3 linked regions of the Arabidopsis thaliana genome follow. The protein of the gene in region 1 purifies or fractionates together with the protein of each later gene. This does not show direct contact. Each region holds a gene or a part of one and is shown in the gene's direction. Other genes may lie near its edges.

Region 1 (6,084 bases):
TGGGCTAAACCGGTTTAATATATTTCCTACTTTTTTTGTTTTCCTGATTAGTCCGGTTAAGCCGTGTAGTAGTTGGTCTTACATGGACGGTTAACAAATGAAAATCGGTTCTGATTTGGTAAGACTTTGTCCTTCGTCCCATGAAGATTTCTCTAACAAAAAATCATTGACCACATCATGACATGAATCCAAAGAAAACACATAGTTTGCTAATGTGTCTGTTAGACGATTAATCTCTTTAGATAGTGTGTATCAATTTCATTATTTTTGTTTTAATCGTCTGTCATTGTATCAGTTTCGGTTAGAAACTAAGATAGGGAAAATATTTCTCGTCCTATAAGATGTTTTACCTAAGCACAAAAAATCATTAAAACGGTATTCAAGACTTTTAAATAAATCAAACAAAAACAAATTTTGATTTCAAAGTAAAACGAAAAAAAAAATCGTAACATGAAAAAAAAAGATATTTTTATTTTATTTTATTTGGAAATAAAATCTGAATAATTATTTTATGACAGTCAATAAAAAGCTATGAAATATTTCTAGAGCTTTACTAATGGGGGAAGTTTGAACTAGCTGCTTGATATTAATATAATAATTTGATTATCAACAAAAAAGTTATATTTAAGAATTAAGATTGATATATGTTAAACTTTTGGTAATTTTGTTCTAAAACCAATATTCTTTGGTTGACTTGACTATTTTATTAATATATTAGTATAAATTGAGAATGTGAATCTCCTTTCCAAACTATTCTTATAGGTTTTCTATATATATAATTTCCTACATAGCATCTAACAGATCCCCGAAAAAAGATCTCAACTACATACAATACCAACCCACAACAAAAATTTGCTTTTTCGATCTTCTCAAAAATGAAACTAAAACAAACCAAAGTGATGTTTTTCTTGTTAGTCCTAATCTCTGCATTAATATTGCAACAATCGAAAGCTCAGAAAAATTATTGTTCGAGAACCAACATAGACTATATACCGGGATGTTTCCATGCGTTGCAATTAGCGTATAACAAAGATTATAGTCTCCTAACAAGAAATTGTTGCAGAGCAGTGTTTTCACTTCCTACTACTTGTGCCTTGCTTGTCTATCCTGGCAAAACTTACCCTATTACTACCTTTAGATTAATTTGTATTTATAGCGATCCTCTTCCAGCAATGTCTCCATTAAGTCTATAAGTTTTGTTTATCTCTTAATAATAATATAATAATAAAAATCATATTTACATTATAATTTTTTAACTTTGTTCAAGTTACACATAAAATCCCTAACTCTCTATACGTGTTGAATGTTTGAGGTCTCATATTTATCTTACTCTTTCGGTTTTCAAAAGGATATCAACATAAATGTAAATATGTAATCATTCCTCATTTGTTGGAAATTAATTTATAAATTTTGATTTCAAAAATCAACTAATCCATTTGTAAACTATGTAAAATATTTATCAATTATATTATTATTTTTGCCACCTTAGAAATATATGTTAACATTTGTGTAGTTAAAAGAAATCCCCAAATTAAATCATGTTTTGACTCACACTTATAATATTATCGGATTTCATAAATAAATGGATAAACCATGTAAAAGATGAAATAACATACGATAAAAAATGATCTTAGTCAAAACATATGAAAGCCGATAATAATAATGACATTTATTGGAAATTCAAGTCTAAAAATAAATAATAATAATAATAACAACATACGAGATGAGATCGAGATAATATAGTATATAATAAATTAAATATAAATTACTAATAATAATGACATTTCTTACAAATTCAATAAGTGTTTGTTTTTACTCATGAGTGTTTTTAACCCATTTATACTCTTATATTTTCATAAATAACCTACTTGTTATCACCATATTACACCAGTTAATATATTTGTAAAATTTTGAAAAAGATTGTATATATCAATCTCTATACATGACTCATAAGGTTAACATTTAACATCGTTTAATTGTTTTGGAAGGTAGATTTAAATCCACCAACAATTCAAGGATGTGAAGAATTTTTAGATCAAATATATATTTAAATGTACAAGTGTTTTTTTCTAACAAAAAAAATTTGAGGTATTGAACGGATGGGTAATTTTCGGGTGTTTTTGCCGTGTTATTGTAGCCGTCGATTAGTTGGGATGTATACTTATTGGGCCTAAGAAGCTTAATACCTTAATTGTACAATCGGATGGATATATAAATGGGCTCAACAACAAGGAAAAAGGCCCATTTAAACCTAAGAGTTCAAGCTCTATTTGTAGAAAGACCAAAGTATCCCTAGATGTTTAAGTATGTCCTCTGTGTCTCTAAAGGTTAATTGGGGAAGAAGAAAACTCTCCTTCTTTTTGTAACTTTTGCTTCACCTCTCTCTTCTTCTCTTGTTCTATTTTTTTTCCCGATTCAAGCAAAATTCATCAAGGTAAATTTACTCTTCTTCTCAAGCTGAGTTTTTTTGAATTGTTGGTATCTTCCTTCATCACTCTCGCACTTCTCTTCTTGAAGTCTCTCTTGCTCGATTCGATTCTACGGTTTCTCTCGATCCGAGGGTTTTTGATTGAACTTTTATTGGTCTCTTTGATATTGAAGAAATTATTCAACCCTAATCTCAAATTGCTTCAGAAGATTTCGGGAAACTAGTTTATTCTTATGGGTAATCGTTTTGATGCTAAAGTACTTAACTTTTTGTGATTGTAGACTTGTCAATTTGAAAAAATGTCGCAATCAACCGTAGATGTTCCGCCAAAGGGTGGGTTTAGCTTCGATCTGTGTAAGAGAAATGATATGCTTACACAAAAGGGTCTTAAAGCTCCGTCTTTTTTGAAGACTGGAACAACCATTGTTGGTTTGATTTTCAAGGTATGGTTTTTTATTCTCTCACATTAGTTTCTTGTCCATAGATTGCATAGAGTAATAGTTTCATGGGAACTGTTTTTGTTCTTAGTCAGCTGAGAACTAAGTTTTGTATTGTGGAAGTTAAAATTAGATCTTTTTAGAATTGGTTAGTCAAGAAGTTGAGGCCTAAGACTGAGTCGCAGGCACATTGATTAGATTGCTCTACTATAATGTGATTGTTTACTTGTGTCTGTTAAACTCTTTAGGGTCGTTATTGACGAGCACTTTCAGTTTCGCATGATAGATCCTTGTATGAGTTTCATCTAAAGTAGGTTTTGCTTAGTGATAATGTGGTGGTTCTTATCGTTAGCTCTTGTCTCTCCGTATAGTTTAGAACATAGTATCTAGACGTGTAAGATGTTTGAGTTCTTGTGTTCTAATTGTTGTCTTTTGATTGCTTTTTTTAGTAAATTATTGTGGAAGCTGTGTAATATTGATTTTGATATTCGGGCTTTGTATAGGATGGTGTGATACTAGGGGCAGATACCCGAGCAACTGAGGGGCCAATTGTTGCTGATAAGAACTGTGAGAAGATTCACTATATGGCACCAAACATATATTGCTGTGGTGCAGGAACTGCGGCTGATACTGAAGCAGTCACTGGTATATATACTTTCTACCTTCAGTGGGGCAGATTTTGTTTTCTCTGTCAAAGAAATCAGAATCTAACTGGCATAATGCATCACTTCATAGAAATTGATGCTTAGTTATCTTGGTTTCTTTCTTATTGTCCAGATATGGTCAGCTCACAGCTGCGATTGCATCGTTACCAGACTGGTCGAGACTCTCGGGTCATTACTGCTTTGACCCTTCTCAAAAAACATCTTTTCAGGTAAATTTGTTCTTTCTCCTCCAGAAACTCGTCTTAAAGAAACATAGATGATTTAACTGCCTAAGATTCATTTCAGCTACCAAGGTCATGTCTCTGCTGCTCTTGTACTCGGTGGAGTTGATATCACTGGTCCACATCTGCATACTGTAAGTTATACATCCCCGACAGTATACTGAGAAGAGATTTTTTTGTTTGTTTGTTGTTATTCATATCATATTTGACCTGTTTATTTTATAAACAGATATACCCACACGGTTCAACTGACACTCTTCCATTCGCCACAATGGGTTCGGGTTCTCTTGCTGCTATGTCTGTGTTTGAGGCAAAGTATAAAGAAGGCCTAACTGTAAGTAAGCCATTCACGTTTCAATATCCAGAGACGTTATTTTCATCTGTCTGATTATTCTTGTTTACAAAATCCTCTAGAGGGATGAAGGAATTAAGCTGGTCGCTGAATCCATATGCTCGGGTATATTCAATGACCTGGGTAGTGGTAGCAACGTGGACATCTGCGTGATCACAAAGGTTTGTCTTCACCCTACTTTAACCTGTACCTTTGATTAATCCACAAATCTACCTTTGGTCAGCATGTTAGACTCATAGTTTATCATCTCATAGACATAACAGTGACCAAGTAAATCGCCATCAAACCTCACAAAACCCAACTCTTAGCATTGCCATTAAATAAAAGTAAAACAACCTCTCCATTTGGTTTAATGCAATCCTAGACCTCAGTTCTGCATGTACATATTAAGCTGACCCAAGTTATTCACCACCAGATCAAACTCTTTTGCATTACATGTGTATGTTTTGTTGCTTTTGAGCTTATTATTGGACACAATATTGGCAAACAGGGGAACAAGGAATATCTCAGGAACTACATGGAACCAAACCCAAGAACCTATGTCAGCAGCAAAGGCTATTCCTTCACCAAGAAAACTGGTAAGTTACTCTCAAACACACAACAAAGAAACTTGCATCGCCGCCCTCGCCTTTAGCTAGTCGAAATCCTCAGTTTTTCTCACTTCATTTTTGTTGATTTATTGTGTAACAGAGGTTCTTCTCACCAAAATCACCCCATTGCTGGAGCGAGTCGAAATCACAGAAGTTGGTGAAGCTATGGAGGAATAATTCAATCAATCTCATATATCTTCTTTTGCATTGATCTACATCAAGGCTCTGTGTACTCTCATGATCTCATCTTCCCAGTCTTGTCTTCTTCCCATGTTTAAGGATCATTCAAATCTTGTTACTCCTCTCTCTCCTTCTTAGATTTCAATAGAGAGGGTCAGACTCGAGAGACTTCGTCCTTTCGAAATAAAAAAACAACTTTCCCTAAATTATTATTGGTTTGTGCAAACCGAATTGAATTGTACAAGCTGTTTAACCAAATCTCCTAATACGACGTCGCTTTTTGTCTCAGGATGACGTGTTTTTGTTGCCGCTAATTTCTCTACACGCGAGTATATACATATATAGGAAATAGAGATACGAATTTATCATATAAGACGTTACTATAGAGCGACACTTATCTTTTATTTTTATTTTTCTTCAGATTTGTTTTTTTGTTTCTTCTTCTTTGATTTATCTGAGTAAAAGCTTTTTAAAAACTAACATAGGATTGAAGAAGACGATGGAGAAATTATCTAATGGCGTTAGAGATCACTGTTTGATCAGTGACTATGTTTCTCCTTCAGCTCCTGCTCCTCTTAAACAACCTTTCGTGATCGGTACGTTTTTCATTGATTTCTCAAATGATTCAAAATCTGATTTTCTCTGATTCCGTCAACGATCTGCTTATATCAGGTGTTGCCGGAGGAACCGCCTCCGGGAAGACGACGGTTTGCAATATGATCATGTCTCAGTTACATGATCAACGTGTTGTCCTTGTTAACCAAGTAATTATTAAACTCATAATCTGTTTTTTCATCAAAATCGTTGTGAGATATGTACGTAAGACGACTCAATAATTGCAGGATTCGTTTTACCACTCGCTTACTAAGGAGAAATTGAACAAGGTTCATGAATATAACTTCGATCATCCTGGTGAGGAAAATCAATTATGATGATTTGATCTAAGGAACGATTCAAATTTTGTTCTTAAGAATCTTTGTTTTGTTTTTGATACAAGATGCATTCAACACTGAGGTTTTACTTTCATGTATGGAGAAGTTACGATCTGGACAACCAGTGAACATTCCGAGTTACGATTTCAAAATCCATCAGAGCATTGAATCATCAAGTCCGGTACTATTAGTTTTTGCTTGCAGAGACTCAGAAAACACCATTAGTTATTGATTAGCAACACTAATTACAATGTCCTACTTCAGGTTAATCCTGGTGAT
Region 2 (6,571 bases), 5.8 Mb from region 1:
TACGCTGCATACCCATAACCCTGAGGATACACAACAGTCCCATTCTCTCCATAAATTCCCTGGTAAAATATTGAACCTGTTAAGCAAAGAAAATATAAAGACGATGAAAGGCACTATTATAACTAGTCAGCACACACTTACAGAATTCATGTCAACACCCTCAGGATTTGTGTAAGCTGGGTAGTCAGTCCACTCTTGACCACTCCCATATACTGAAAAGTTACAAAACGAAAAACTTGTTAAACCAGTGGTGACAATTTAGTGAAATAATGTTTCTAGATTGTAAATGATTTGAGGATGAAGCTACCATTGTAATACTGGTAGGGATTGTAAGGATTAGGAACATAGCAAACTGAAGGGTCAGCAGCATCACTGGGAAGCATTGGTGTCAAAGATCGATCATAAGAAGGAACTTGACCATGAACATCAACGCCTCCATACTGGTAGACGGCAGTCTACACAAGACACAAAACAAAAGCGTTAAAAAAAACTGGAAGAAGCAAAAGTTGTGACAACAGAAAACCAAAATTCAATCTGCAAATCACCTTCTTGTTAGGCTCAGGGATCTCTGAAGCTTTTGCTGGCGAGTCCAAGGATAGTTTCTGCAACAGATCTGTAGCTTCTACAAACAAGGTGAGTCAAGGAAGCAAAGAATTACACAATTAACCATTAGAATAGTGGAAAGCAAACATTCTCAAATCAATCAAACTCGCCACAAATGAATCGATTTGAATCAATATAGAAACCTAACAATCGAGAAATATATTGAGAAACCCGAAACTGAATCTAGGCAATATCAAATATATCTGAACAAGACTCAAAATCAGCTCACTGGATTCAAGATCCAACAGATTCAAGATCGAGAAATCAAAACACAGATCGAGAAACATAAAGAAAGGATACGATCAGCAGGAGGAGCAACGGTAGCCATGAGAGGAGATTCGACAAACAAAGATTTGGATAGATCCTTCTCGGATAAAAGGGGATGCGACCAAAGAGAAAGAAGAAGAAGAAGAAAAAAAAGAAGATAGAGAAACCCTAAATGGAATCAGGAAAAACCCAGATCAAATCTAGGGTTTAAGAGATAGAATAGAAGAGAGAAAGAAGAAAAAAATGGCCGCAGCCGCCAAGAAGGAGAAGGGTTTTGCTTCGGGGAAGAGGAAAAAAAGGGTTTTGTCTCTCTACCTCTCCCTCTGATTCAAATAGATCCACTAATCAACCACCTCACCTTCTCTCTTTTTTTTTTCTTTCTTTTTTTTTTTTTTTCTTCCACCTTAAGATATTTCCTCTTTTGTTTTAAAAGAAGACTATAGACCGTGTGGTTTTGGTTATTTTTCCTGCAAAATCTGGATAATATACTTTTCCATTTTCTTAAAATTGGTAATCTTGTAATAAAATAGATATAAATCTCAATTCTGTTACCAAAATATAATTCAAAAGTAAATTTGGTCAAATTTAAAAGCAAAAGAGGGCATGCTTTCTATTATAGGTGTGTTTCTTCTATAAATTTACCCCAATATACATTGAAATATCTTTAAAAATATATATTAAACTTTTTTGTTTTGAGCAACTATTTAAAAACTAAAAGCAAATCATTAAGATAAAACCAAAGAAAGTAAAATCTATTTTTCAGAGAAACTTACCAAAACTAGCTATTCAAGAAAATATACTTTACCTTTAGGATAAAAGGAAGTAAATTACCTTAGCTTAAAAAAGCTATTATTAAATAAAAACATTTTAAGATCGAGAGTATGTAATGGGCCTATTTGATTAAAGATTCATAAACAGGCCCAAATCACCAAACAAGGCCACCGGAAATAAACCCATGATCCGATTACCCATCCGACGTTCTAGAGAGTTCTAATGAGAAAACAATGAAGAGTACATCCAACGGCTAAGATTAGCTCGAAGTTTCAAGAGCTAAAGGCTCATATCGCCTTTATATTCAAAGAAAAAATTATCAGTAGCAAGTGCATTCTTCATTTCGTCATTGGAGAAACCTACTTCTTCCTCCTTATCCGGAATAAACCTCTTCGGCGCCATCTCTCTCCTCACCTCCGTCGTTCCACCGTCCGGTGAGTGTCACTTTTCCCATCAATTGAGCTCACAATGTTGGCGCCTATGTAATTGTGTGTGTCGATTGATTGTTTTGTTAGAATTGGAATTAACAAGTATTACTAGTAGCTGAGAAAAAGTATGTTACCTTGTTTTCGTGTTCCCGGAGATTTGTGGCTATTGGTGTAGTTGTGGTTTTGAGTATTTGGGGATTGAGCTCTGATTTTGAAATTCATCTGTTTTTTGTTTTTTGTTGCCAGTTTTAATTGGTTAGTACTTTTGGTGAATCTTTCGTTTTATGTGAACTGTTGGATTGATTTTCAGTGTTTGAGAAGTGAAAATGGCATCGACATTCACTGCCACGTCTTCCCTTGGTTCGTTGCTTGCTCCCAATGCTATCAAGTTGTCTTCTGCGACTAGCATCTCTTCAAGCTCGTTTGGAAGGAGACATAACGTGTGCGTCAGAAGATCCCGTCCTGCCATAGTATGTGCAGCCAAGGAGTTGCATTTCAATAAGGATGGGACTACCATAAGGAAACTTCAGGTGAGAATTAATGAATTGATTTTCTGGAGTAATGATTAGGATTCGTTTTATTTTTGGTTTCTGATTACTCGTTTGTTATTAGACTGGTGTTAACAAGCTCGCGGACCTTGTTGGTGTCACACTTGGACCAAAAGGGAGAAATGTTGTTCTTGAGAGCAAGTATGGATCCCCAAGAATTGTTAATGATGGTGTCACTGTTGCGAGGGAGGTATGAAATTTATTGTCTGTTTAACCAATTATGTTCCTTTCGTTTTTAATTACTTCTCTAAGCTTAAGGTTTTCTTCTGCTTAGGTCGAGTTGGAGGACCCGGTTGAGAACATTGGTGCAAAGCTTGTAAGGCAAGCAGCTGCAAAGACCAATGACTTGGCTGGTGACGGTACAACAACATCTGTTGTTCTTGCACAAGGTTTTATTGCTGAGGGTGTCAAGGTTGTTACATTCTTCTTTCAGCTTTCTCTGATTTTATACTCAGAAGAACAGTATATTAATCTGAAATTTTGTATTTTTCAGGTGGTGGCTGCAGGTGCGAACCCTGTATTGATCACTAGGGGGATTGAGAAGACTGCAAAGGCTTTGGTTAACGAGCTGAAACTTATGTCTAAGGAGGTAAGTAACTATTATGCTAAAACTTCCTTCTTCTTAATTTTTCGAGAGTCTATAGCAAGATGGTCTAAAGGTTATGTCATTGGAAATATAGGTTGAAGACAGTGAACTTGCTGATGTGGCAGCTGTTAGTGCGGGTAATAACCACGAAGTTGGAAGTATGATTGCTGAAGCAATGAGCAAAGTGGGCAGGAAGGGTGTGGTGACCCTGGAGGAGGGAAAAAGCGCTGAGAACAACCTTTATGTTGTGGAAGGAATGCAATTTGACCGTGGTTATATCTCCCCATACTTTGTGACAGACAGTGAGAAAATGTCTGTTGAGTATGACAATTGCAAGGTAATTTTTCTTTATTCTGAGCTACCAAAATGATATTGTGATGCAAATAGCCTAACAAGTTTCTACTGTGCAGTTGCTTCTTGTTGACAAGAAAGTAACCAATGCAAGGGATCTTGTTGGGGTTCTAGAGGATGCGATTAGAGGCGGATACCCAATCCTCATAATTGCAGAAGATATTGAACAAGAAGCCTTAGCTACTCTTGTTGTTAACAAGCTTAGAGGCACACTGAAGATTGCAGCTCTCAAAGCTCCTGGATTTGGAGAGCGCAAGAGCCAATACCTTGACGATATTGCCATTCTAACTGGAGGTAGGTCATGTTTTTATAACAAAAAACCTATATGTGGGTATCAATCAATGTGCCCTCCTGATTTGGAATCATTTGGCTGTTAAAACCTTACCGTGTTGCTTCTGTTTTTGTGTGCAGCAACTGTGATCAGAGAGGAAGTTGGTCTTTCTCTTGACAAAGCTGGAAAAGAGGTTCTGGGTAACGCTTCCAAGGTTGTCCTGACAAAGGAAATGACAACAATTGTGGGTGATGGGACCACACAAGAAGCAGTGAACAAGCGTGTTGTACAGATTAGGAATCTTATTGAGGTATATGTTTGAGTCAAACCGCATAAGAGTCTGTGACAGCTACTTTTTTTTGTATAAAGTTTGTTTATGCTAATACAACTGCGGTTGTGCAGCAAGCGGAGCAAGACTACGAGAAGGAAAAATTAAATGAGAGAATTGCGAAGCTCTCTGGTGGAGTTGCTGTAATTCAGGTAAAATAGTAATCACATGGACTTTCTTGGATTTGTATGATAGAAGAATAAGTTAAGTGATCTAATTAAAGTTTTTACATCTTGGTTAAAGGTTGGAGCTCAAACTGAGACAGAGCTCAAAGAAAAGAAGCTGAGAGTGGAAGATGCTCTTAATGCTACAAAGGTGATTTTCTTTATCCAGCTGATGGGGTTATAGGTATCGTGCTACTCATGTATATCTTAATTATATGACCTCATTGAGTTTCAGGCTGCTGTTGAGGAAGGTATTGTCGTTGGTGGTGGTTGCACTCTGCTCCGGCTTGCATCAAAGGTCGATGCCATCAAGGATACCCTTGAAAATGATGAAGAAAAGGTGATTGGCAAAATCAAGAATTTTGAAATTTTTTGCAAATTGCTTGCTCTTACTGCATTTTCAACTATTTCCCATCTCTAGGTTGGAGCGGAAATTGTTAAAAGAGCACTGAGTTACCCTCTGAAATTGATAGCTAAGAATGCTGGTGTTAATGGAAGTGTTGTCAGCGAGAAGGTTATAACAACATAAGAACATCCATGCTTATTCAGCTCTTGATCTACGTAAGTTGCTTAAAAAGCTGTATTTATTTATTGCAGGTGCTGGCTAACGATAATGTGAAATTTGGATACAATGCTGCAACCGGCAAGTATGAAGACCTGATGGCTGCAGGCATCATCGACCCGACAAAGGTCAGTTTCTCACATACACTCCCTCACTCTGTTTTGCTATCCCATCTGATCGCAAAATATCCAATGAACCTGAGTGGATTTTTGTTTTCAGGTTGTGAGATGTTGCTTAGAACATGCCGCCTCAGTTGCAAAGACGTTCTTGATGTCTGACTGTGTGGTTGTTGAGATCCCAGAGCCAGAGCCAGTTCCTGCTGGTAACCCAATGGACAACTCAGGTTAGTCCAGACCTTCTGATTCATAAAAACTGGACAGTGACATCAAAACAAAACTCATGTTTCTTCATCACTGAATCTTTCTCGATTGTCTTGTTTCAGGTTATGGATACTAAGATAGACCGACCAGGTTTGCTCGTAAAGCTGAGAGATAGGCAAAATTCCGAAGCGAGAGTAGCTCACTGGGATACGGATTCCTTTAGCTTGCAAACAAATTTTCTGTGCAAGTGTAGTGATTTTTGAACCAGAGAATAATGTGTTCACTAGATATCATATTTGAAATCATTTTGAATAACTTGTCAGTGATCTTCAAAATCTTGAGTGCTCTTAATAACACCATCTTATATACATGCTAAAGCTGAGGGAACTTAGATAGAATGCAAAAAGTGTACTTTAAATTTAAAAGCTTCTTGAATCTGACTAAGAAAGAACTTCATTAACTGGTTAAGTAAACAAGTGTAATATAAAGCAATTCTTTTAACAACTCTAAAACCGTAAACACTGAATCGACAATCGACATATAACCTCAGGTGAGCAAAAGTGGATTCTACTATATGTACCTCAATGTAGATGGATTCTAAATCCAAAGCCACAAGCTGAACAGAGCCAATTCTCAAGCAAGCTTCTTCACCCTTCACCATTGCCATATCTTCCGGTAAAACTAAGCCGAGTTGATCACAGAATAACACAAACACAGCTTTGATCGCCATCATATCTAACATCTTCTTCTTCACTGCAAATATAACAGGGATTCAGACAAATGTCAATCAACTAATTCTCAAAGTTAGCATCTTTTGAAGCCTGAATTGATCAAAGATTCAAACTTCATACCAAGAAACCTAAGAAAAACAAAGATTCAAACTTCATAGAAGACAGTACCTAGACTCGAATTCTCGGATCTCAGCAAGTTCTTTCCCCATCAAATCCACCCACTGTACTTTCTTCTTCTCCTTTCTCCCACCATCTGCTGAATCTAAGACCTCCTTCTTGAGACTGCTTTTCAAGATTTCCCCATTACTAAGACTTTCTTCTTCTTCCTTTTTTCCCTCTAGAGCACAATCTTCTTCTCTAACAACCTCAGTCAACAAACCATCAACATGATCAACAACAACTTCTTCTTCTTCTACATGTGCATCATCATCATCATTGTCATCATGGTCACGATCATCAACAACCGTAGTCGAAGAAGACACTTGAGGAAAAGTATTCTCCAATTTGAGAGAACCAGAAGCGTAGATATGAGGAGAAGGCTTACAGAAACAGATGAAAGAAGGGCACTGGATCTTACACAGCAAAACCCTCATCAAAACATATGTTGGGTCTTTAAAACACCCGATCATCAAATTCCAAAC
Region 3 (6,562 bases), on another chromosome or scaffold:
TGGTCTCTATAGTGGCTGCAGCCACTAGAGCCGGCCAAAAAATGCGGGTCGTGACTAGGTACTCTCACAGCTTCCCCAAGCTGGTTTGTACTGATGGTAAAGACGGGACTCTCATAAGCACCAAGTTTCTAAACCATGTGGTGACCACCAACCCGGAGGCCAAGACTTTGACGGTTGAGAGCGGCGTGACTCTAAGGCAACTGATCGAAGAAGCAGCTAAGTTTGATCTGGCTTTGCCATACGCACCGTATTGGTGGGGACTTACGGTTGGAGGAATGATGGGGACAGGTGCTCACGGAAGTTCTTTATGGGGTAAAGGAAGTGCGGTTCATGATTACGTGACCGAGATAAGATTGGTGAGTCCCGGTTTGGCTTCTGATGGGTATGTAAAGGTTCAGGTTCTTAGCGAGACTATAGATCCGGAGGAATTTCGCGCAGCCAAAGTTTCTCTAGGTGTTCTTGGTGTTATCTCTCAAGTAACTTTCGAATTGCAACCAATGTTCAAAAGATCGTTAAATTATGTTATGAGAAACGATTCGGATTTCGGAGATCAAGCAGTGAGTTTTGGCGAAAGACACGAGTTTGCGGATTTCTTATGGTTACCGAGCCAAGGAAAAGTGGTGTATCGCATGGATGGCCGAGTTCCGCTTAATACTTCGGGAGATGGCTTGTTCGAATTTTTCCCATTCCGTTCACAACTCTCTTTAGTGTTAGCCATAGATAGATCCTTAGGTAAATCTTTATTTCTCAAGATAATTAATACCAATATTTTTGATTTGCATAGCTATAATGTTTCTTATATATATACTTTTGCTTCATGTCATGCAGAGGAGAGTGAAGAGTCACTTGAAGATGCAAACATGAAGTGTGTGAGGGCAAAGCTAGTATCGTCGTCTATGTTTTTAATGTCATACGGTGTGACTAATAACGGTATTTCTTTTACTTGCTTATACATTTGTTGATTGTTTCGATATAAGATTATACAAAACTTTCACTAGTAATTTCCATGGACAGGCCTAATATTCACAGGCTATCCGGTCATCGGAATGCAAAACCATATGATGTCGTCAGGTTCATGTCTAGACAGTCGTCAAGACGGACTAATCACGGCTTGTCCATGGGATCCACGGATAAAAGGCCAATTCTTTCACCAAACAACATTCAGTGTTTCTCTCACAAATGTCAAAAGTTTCATCAACGACATCAAAGCACTTGTGAAGATCGAACCGAAATCTTTATGCGTACTTGAAGGCAGCAACGGTATTCTCATCCGCTATGTCACATCCTCTCTAGCATTTCTCGGAAAAGAAGAAAAAGCTTTAGATTTTGACCTAACTTACTACAGAAGCAAAAATGATCCATTGGCACCGCGTCTATACGAGGATTACATTGAAGAAATCGAGCAAATGGCGATATTCAAATACAATGCGTTACCACATTGGGGGAAGAATAGGAACCTAGCGTTTGATGGTGCCATTAGAAAATACAAGAACGCAAACGCGTTTTTAAAAGTAAAAGAGAAATTTGATTCTTTAGGATTGTTTTCCACTGAATGGACTGATCAGATTCTAGGTTTAAAAGGAAACGTGACGATTGTGAAACAAGGATGTGCATTGGAGGGACTATGTATTTGTTCAGAGGATTCTCATTGTGCTCCTACCAAAGGTTATTTATGTAGACCAGGTAAAGTTTATAGAGAAGCTAGAGTTTGTACTCGTGTAAGTTCCTAAATCCTAATCAAAGTTTTGGTCCTCAGTTCTGTTATATATCAAAAACCTCATTCCTCTCTCTGCTTTAAGAGAACAGAGCAGTCTCTGTTCATAATTGACAAGCGAAAACGACGTTGTATTGAATTCGTGACACGTGTCAAACAATGAGTAGTTAATCAAAGTGTCACTCGCACGTGAAGAGAGTAGAGTAGGTGGGTTTAGGGTTTAAGTGTTCCAGATTCTTCCAAATTCAGTTGATCCAACGGCTCAGACTTAACCTGAAACCTTTGAAGACGCGATCCTCGAACTTCACCAGTCCGTTTGCACTATGCAACCAAACACACTTTGTATCGAATAAATTAAACAAAAATCATAACTTTACAATCGCATAAATCGACTTTCATCTTCTTCACAAGAAAACCTCTCTCAGTCGCTAAAACCCTTGAACCATCTCTTGATCGCTAGCTTCTAAGTAAGTGTATAGTTGAATCATTTCGATCAAAGTTTAGGTAAAAAGTTGTTTGCTTTCAGATACCCTTGTTTTGATTTGTGTCGATGATTACAAAGTTTTACTTTGATTTGTGTCTTTAGGGTTTATTAGATTCATTCAAGCTATAAAGTTTTGATTTTGATCTGTTTTTGCAGAGAGTGAAAAACCATGGCATCAACCTTTAGCGCAACGTCGTCAATGGGTTCATCTTTGGCTCCTCCTTCGAATCGATTGTCATCTTTTGTTTCGATCTCATCAAGCTCTTTTGGAAGGACTCAGAGTATTGCTCAGAGGAAAGCAAGGTTTCCTAAAATATATGCGGCTAAGCAATTGCATTTCAATAAGGACGGGACTGCGATTAAGAAGCTTCAAGTGAGTCTATTCTATTTCGGTGATTTTGTGACTTCTAGTTCTTTATTGAATAACTTATATCATTTCATTATGTAGGCTGGTGTGAATAAACTTGCGGATTTAGTTGGGGTTACTTTAGGTCCTAAAGGCAGGAATGTTGTTCTAGAGAGCAAATACGGTTCCCCTAGAATCGTTAATGATGGTGTTACGGTCGCTAGAGAGGTAACGGTGTTATCTCTTGTTGTGTCTAATGTGTAATCAGGTGTGAAATCGATTTGTAGATTTTGAAAAGCTTTTGCTGTTTGTTTAGGTTGAGCTTGAGGATCCAGTTGAGAACATTGGTGCTAAGCTAGTGAGACAAGCTGCTTCCAAGACTAATGACTTAGCTGGTGATGGAACAACGACTTCTGTTGTTCTTGCTCAAGGTCTTATTGCTGAAGGTGTAAAGGTTTGTAATTTATTGTCTTTCTTTTGTGAATTTGAAACAACCAGTGTTTTTTGTTGTTGTTGTGATATGATGTGGATTGAATTGTGTAGGTGGTAGCTGCTGGTGCAAATCCTGTTTTGATTACCAGAGGTATTGAGAAAACCACCAAAGCTCTTGTGGCTGAGTTGAAGAAAATGTCAAAGGAGGTATTGTTGACTTAATTAGATTCTTAATCTAGCTCTTTTCATGTGCTTTAGAGGATTCTTGATCATGTAGCTCTTTTCTGGATTGCAGGTTGAAGACAGTGAACTAGCAGATGTTGCAGCAGTTAGTGCAGGAAACAATTACGAAGTAGGCAATATGATTGCAGAAGCAATGGCAAAAGTTGGTCGTAAAGGTGTTGTCACTCTAGAGGAAGGCAAAAGCGCTGAGAACAGCCTTTACGTTGTTGAAGGAATGCAATTTGATCGTGGTTATATCTCTCCTTACTTTGTCACCGACAGTGAGAAAATGTGTGCAGAATATGAGAACTGCAAGGTATTATTATTGTTTATACAGTTAAATCTTAATAGCTGATAAAAAACCGCAGTATTTTTTGACTATATGTCTCTTCTTGCTTTTGTAGTTGTTTCTTGTTGACAAAAAGATAACAAATGCTAGAGATATTATTAGCATTCTGGAAGATGCGATTAAAGGTGGATACCCGCTTTTGATCATTGCTGAAGATATTGAGCAAGAGCCATTAGCGACTCTTGTTGTTAACAAGCTTCGTGGGACAATAAAAGTTGCTGCTTTGAAAGCTCCTGGATTTGGAGAGAGGAAAAGCCAGTACCTTGATGACATTGCTGCGCTTACAGGAGGTTAGACCAATATACTAAGTGTTCTTTACATTATTGCTTCTATATTAAAAAAAAGCATGTTTAGTTTCTCAAGTTGCTGTGTTTGTTTTTCTCTTTGTAGCTACTGTGATTAGGGAAGAAGTTGGACTTCAGTTGGAGAAAGTTGGACCAGAAGTTTTGGGTAATGCTGGTAAAGTGGTTCTCACAAAAGATACTACAACGATAGTTGGTGATGGAAGTACTGAAGAAGTTGTGAAGAAGAGAGTTGAACAGATCAAGAATCTTATCGAGGTACATCTCAAAAAACATTGAAATGTCCCAATAAATTGGTTTTATGTTACGGTGATTAAGTCTTTGGGTTTGTGTAGGCTGCTGAACAAGACTATGAAAAGGAAAAGCTTAATGAGAGAATTGCTAAATTATCAGGCGGTGTTGCTGTAATTCAGGTGAGATACTAAGAAACAAATCACATGATGCAAAAAGCGTAGCTTAAGGTAATAAGAAGAATAATCTAAACGTTTTATATTCTTTAGGTTGGAGCACAAACTGAGACAGAGCTTAAGGAGAAGAAATTAAGAGTTGAAGATGCTCTTAATGCTACAAAGGTAACATCATCTCTAAGCAAAGAGCCTTGAAATGTTTCCATCCATATGGTAGAGACTAAGTTGTTGGACCTTTTAATTAGGCTGCTGTGGAAGAAGGTATTGTTGTTGGCGGAGGATGTACTCTGCTAAGACTTGCATCGAAAGTGGACGCTATTAAAGAGACTCTAGCAAACGATGAAGAAAAGGTTAGTCCAGAAGAGTTGCACAGCAGAGAAAGATAACATGAATGAGGAGTTTGCCGTCTGCGGGTTATAACGCCATTTTACAATTCATCTTAACCTCCAGGTTGGAGCTGACATTGTTAAGAAAGCATTGAGCTACCCACTGAAGTTAATCGCCAAGAACGCTGGTGTCAATGGCAGCGTTGTCAGTGAGAAGGTAATCAATCTCCTTAAAAGAATGCAAGTTTGAGTCTTTTGATATAGAAACTAAGTCAATGGCTTTTTTCGGTTGACAGGTTCTTTCTAGTGACAACCCTAAACATGGTTACAATGCTGCAACTGGCAAATACGAAGATCTCATGGCTGCAGGAATCATTGATCCAACCAAAGTGAGCAAAGTTCCTTACTTTTTCACATATTGAAATCTGCTGTTTCGGGTGCTAACCGAGTTTTCTTCTTTTCAAGGTTGTGAGATGTTGCCTAGAGCATGCTTCATCTGTGGCAAAGACATTCTTGATGTCTGATTGTGTTGTTGTGGAGATCAAGGAGCCTGAATCAGCAGCTCCTGCTGGTAACCCTATGGACAATTCAGGTATCTCTTAGTTCTTCTTCTTGAATCCTCTGAATCATTAACAAAATCTGCAACTTTATTCTTACAAAATTTCTCTGTCGGTTTTCAGGTTACGGCTTCTAAGTTGGCAATTGAGAACAGAGTAGTCCCTGATGAAGCAAAAGCCACGACCAAGTTCTTCACTTCCTGATCTGAAACTTCTTTAAGCCAATGTAAATTATATGTTTTTCCAGTGACCTGAAGAAACATATAATTTGGTTCTGTGTTCTCCGATTCAAGATCAAGTTTTTCAATATGACAACTTCACTAAAGAGACACAGTTTGCAGTGCTCAATAGACTTGATTTAGTTAGTATCATTTTCTTTATTTCAAATTAAAACGAACGAGGATATGCACAAAATCATGAGCAGCAACAAGCCAACAACCAAGCACAATACTAAATTACTACTTTGTTTGTGGTTTTTTGTGGCCTCCATAGCCAATATCTTGATACTTTAAAATTGTAATCTATTTAATTAGTTCAACAATTCTCTTTACCTGAGCATAGACTATGACATAATGTGGAGTATATTGTCTATTACTTTAAAACTTTAAAATGTTCCCCAAACATTAATTAAAAAGACTACCAAGTAAACATCTGTAAAGCTGAGAAGTTTTTTTCATTTTGTATGATCTATACTAAATTTAACAGAACTATTATTGATGATATGTTTTTATATATATGAAATTTGGAGAATTTGTAAAAATCAACCATTTCTAGTGCTTATACTAACAATCCACATCATAATCTTTATTTCTTGTTCGTTCATCGATCTTTTTTTTTTATAAAACCACATTAGTTGAGTTTCAGAGTTGTCAGCAAACTGAAGAAAGATAGTAAAGTAAGTGATCTTCCTAGTAATTTCTTTACAACTTTTTGGTTTATTCTTCAATATATACAAAGTAATAATCGAGGAGAGAAATTTTCTAAGAGCATTTTCAAAGTCAATCTTACTTTAAAAGCTTCGAGTGGGTTCCACTATAACTCTGAGTCTCTGACACACACTCTTTCGTAACCTTTTGTTGTTTTTTCGGGTTTGTTCATAACTTTTTTTTTGTAAACCAAATTTAGAGTTTTAAAGTTGATGATGAACCTACGCAAACGCAAGAGATAGCTACTTAGTTGTCTTCCTTGAAATTTCCTTACTAACTTTTGTTTTCTTGTTCAACCTACCAAAAAGATTTGATGGGAAAAAAAATTATACACTTTTAAGAGCATTTTCAAAGTTAATCATACTTTAAAAACTGCAAGTAAAGTTATACTAGTTTTGCAAAGACATGAAACGATTCTAGCCACATATTTTCTTCTATTTAAACGAATTTAATCGTTAGTGTGAATTATAGGACATATCTATTGCAGATCCTAGAGC

The links. Proteins that work in one complex are often made in the same cells at the same time.
Region 2: the proteins of PBB1 (region 1) and Cpn60beta2 fractionate together in Arabidopsis thaliana (co-fractionation; one large-scale study listed by BioGRID). This does not show direct contact.
Region 3: the proteins of PBB1 (region 1) and Cpn60beta3 fractionate together in Arabidopsis thaliana (co-fractionation; one large-scale study listed by BioGRID). This does not show direct contact.

What each region holds. Positions count from the first base shown.
Region 1 is NC_003074.8:10,150,183-10,156,266, forward strand, and holds PBB1 (N-terminal nucleophile aminohydrolases (Ntn hydrolases) superfamily protein), read left to right. Parts: upstream 1-2,275; 5' UTR 2,276-2,434; intron 2,435-2,709; 5' UTR 2,710-2,727; coding exon 2,728-2,871; intron 2,872-3,368; coding exon 3,369-3,510; intron 3,511-3,642; coding exon 3,643-3,739; intron 3,740-3,815; coding exon 3,816-3,885; intron 3,886-3,980; coding exon 3,981-4,085; intron 4,086-4,165; coding exon 4,166-4,264; intron 4,265-4,593; coding exon 4,594-4,681; intron 4,682-4,793; coding exon 4,794-4,870; 3' UTR 4,871-5,265; downstream 5,266-6,084. Other genes in the region: AT3G27425 (ECA1-like gametogenesis related family protein), read left to right, coding at 876-1,193; UKL5 (uridine kinase-like 5), read left to right, coding at 5,373-5,469, 5,546-5,637, 5,716-5,785, 5,871-5,986, 6,070-6,084. UniProt on the Arabidopsis thaliana protein: The proteasome is a multicatalytic proteinase complex which is characterized by its ability to cleave peptides with Arg, Phe, Tyr, Leu, and Glu adjacent to the leaving group at neutral or slightly basic pH.
Region 2 is NC_003074.8:4,387,290-4,393,860, forward strand, and holds Cpn60beta2 (TCP-1/cpn60 chaperonin family protein), read left to right. Parts: upstream 1-1,925; 5' UTR 1,926-2,075; intron 2,076-2,379; 5' UTR 2,380-2,395; coding exon 2,396-2,599; intron 2,600-2,681; coding exon 2,682-2,807; intron 2,808-2,891; coding exon 2,892-3,029; intron 3,030-3,110; coding exon 3,111-3,206; intron 3,207-3,297; coding exon 3,298-3,540; intron 3,541-3,613; coding exon 3,614-3,848; intron 3,849-3,965; coding exon 3,966-4,135; intron 4,136-4,227; coding exon 4,228-4,305; intron 4,306-4,396; coding exon 4,397-4,468; intron 4,469-4,552; coding exon 4,553-4,657; intron 4,658-4,738; coding exon 4,739-4,831; intron 4,832-4,914; coding exon 4,915-5,007; intron 5,008-5,098; coding exon 5,099-5,222; intron 5,223-5,321; coding exon 5,322-5,335; 3' UTR 5,336-5,726; downstream 5,727-6,571. Other genes in the region: ECT2 (evolutionarily conserved C-terminal region 2), read right to left, coding at 1-59, 142-212, 308-455, 546-622, 904-931; AT3G13480 (nuclear polyadenylated RNA-binding protein), read right to left, coding at 5,895-5,952, 6,099-6,559.
Region 3 is NC_003076.8:22,871,691-22,878,252, forward strand, and holds Cpn60beta3 (TCP-1/cpn60 chaperonin family protein), read left to right. Parts: upstream 1-1,977; 5' UTR 1,978-2,181; exon of another isoform or gene 2,182-2,218; intron 2,219-2,354; 5' UTR 2,355-2,367; coding exon 2,368-2,571; intron 2,572-2,646; coding exon 2,647-2,772; intron 2,773-2,860; coding exon 2,861-2,998; intron 2,999-3,087; coding exon 3,088-3,183; intron 3,184-3,271; coding exon 3,272-3,514; intron 3,515-3,602; coding exon 3,603-3,837; intron 3,838-3,937; coding exon 3,938-4,107; intron 4,108-4,184; coding exon 4,185-4,262; intron 4,263-4,349; coding exon 4,350-4,421; intron 4,422-4,501; coding exon 4,502-4,606; intron 4,607-4,706; coding exon 4,707-4,799; intron 4,800-4,878; coding exon 4,879-4,971; intron 4,972-5,047; coding exon 5,048-5,174; intron 5,175-5,262; coding exon 5,263-5,276; 3' UTR 5,277-5,717; downstream 5,718-6,562. Other genes in the region: GulLO4 (D-arabinono-1,4-lactone oxidase family protein), read left to right, coding at 1-732, 829-930, 1,015-1,730. UniProt on the Arabidopsis thaliana protein: Involved in protein assisted folding.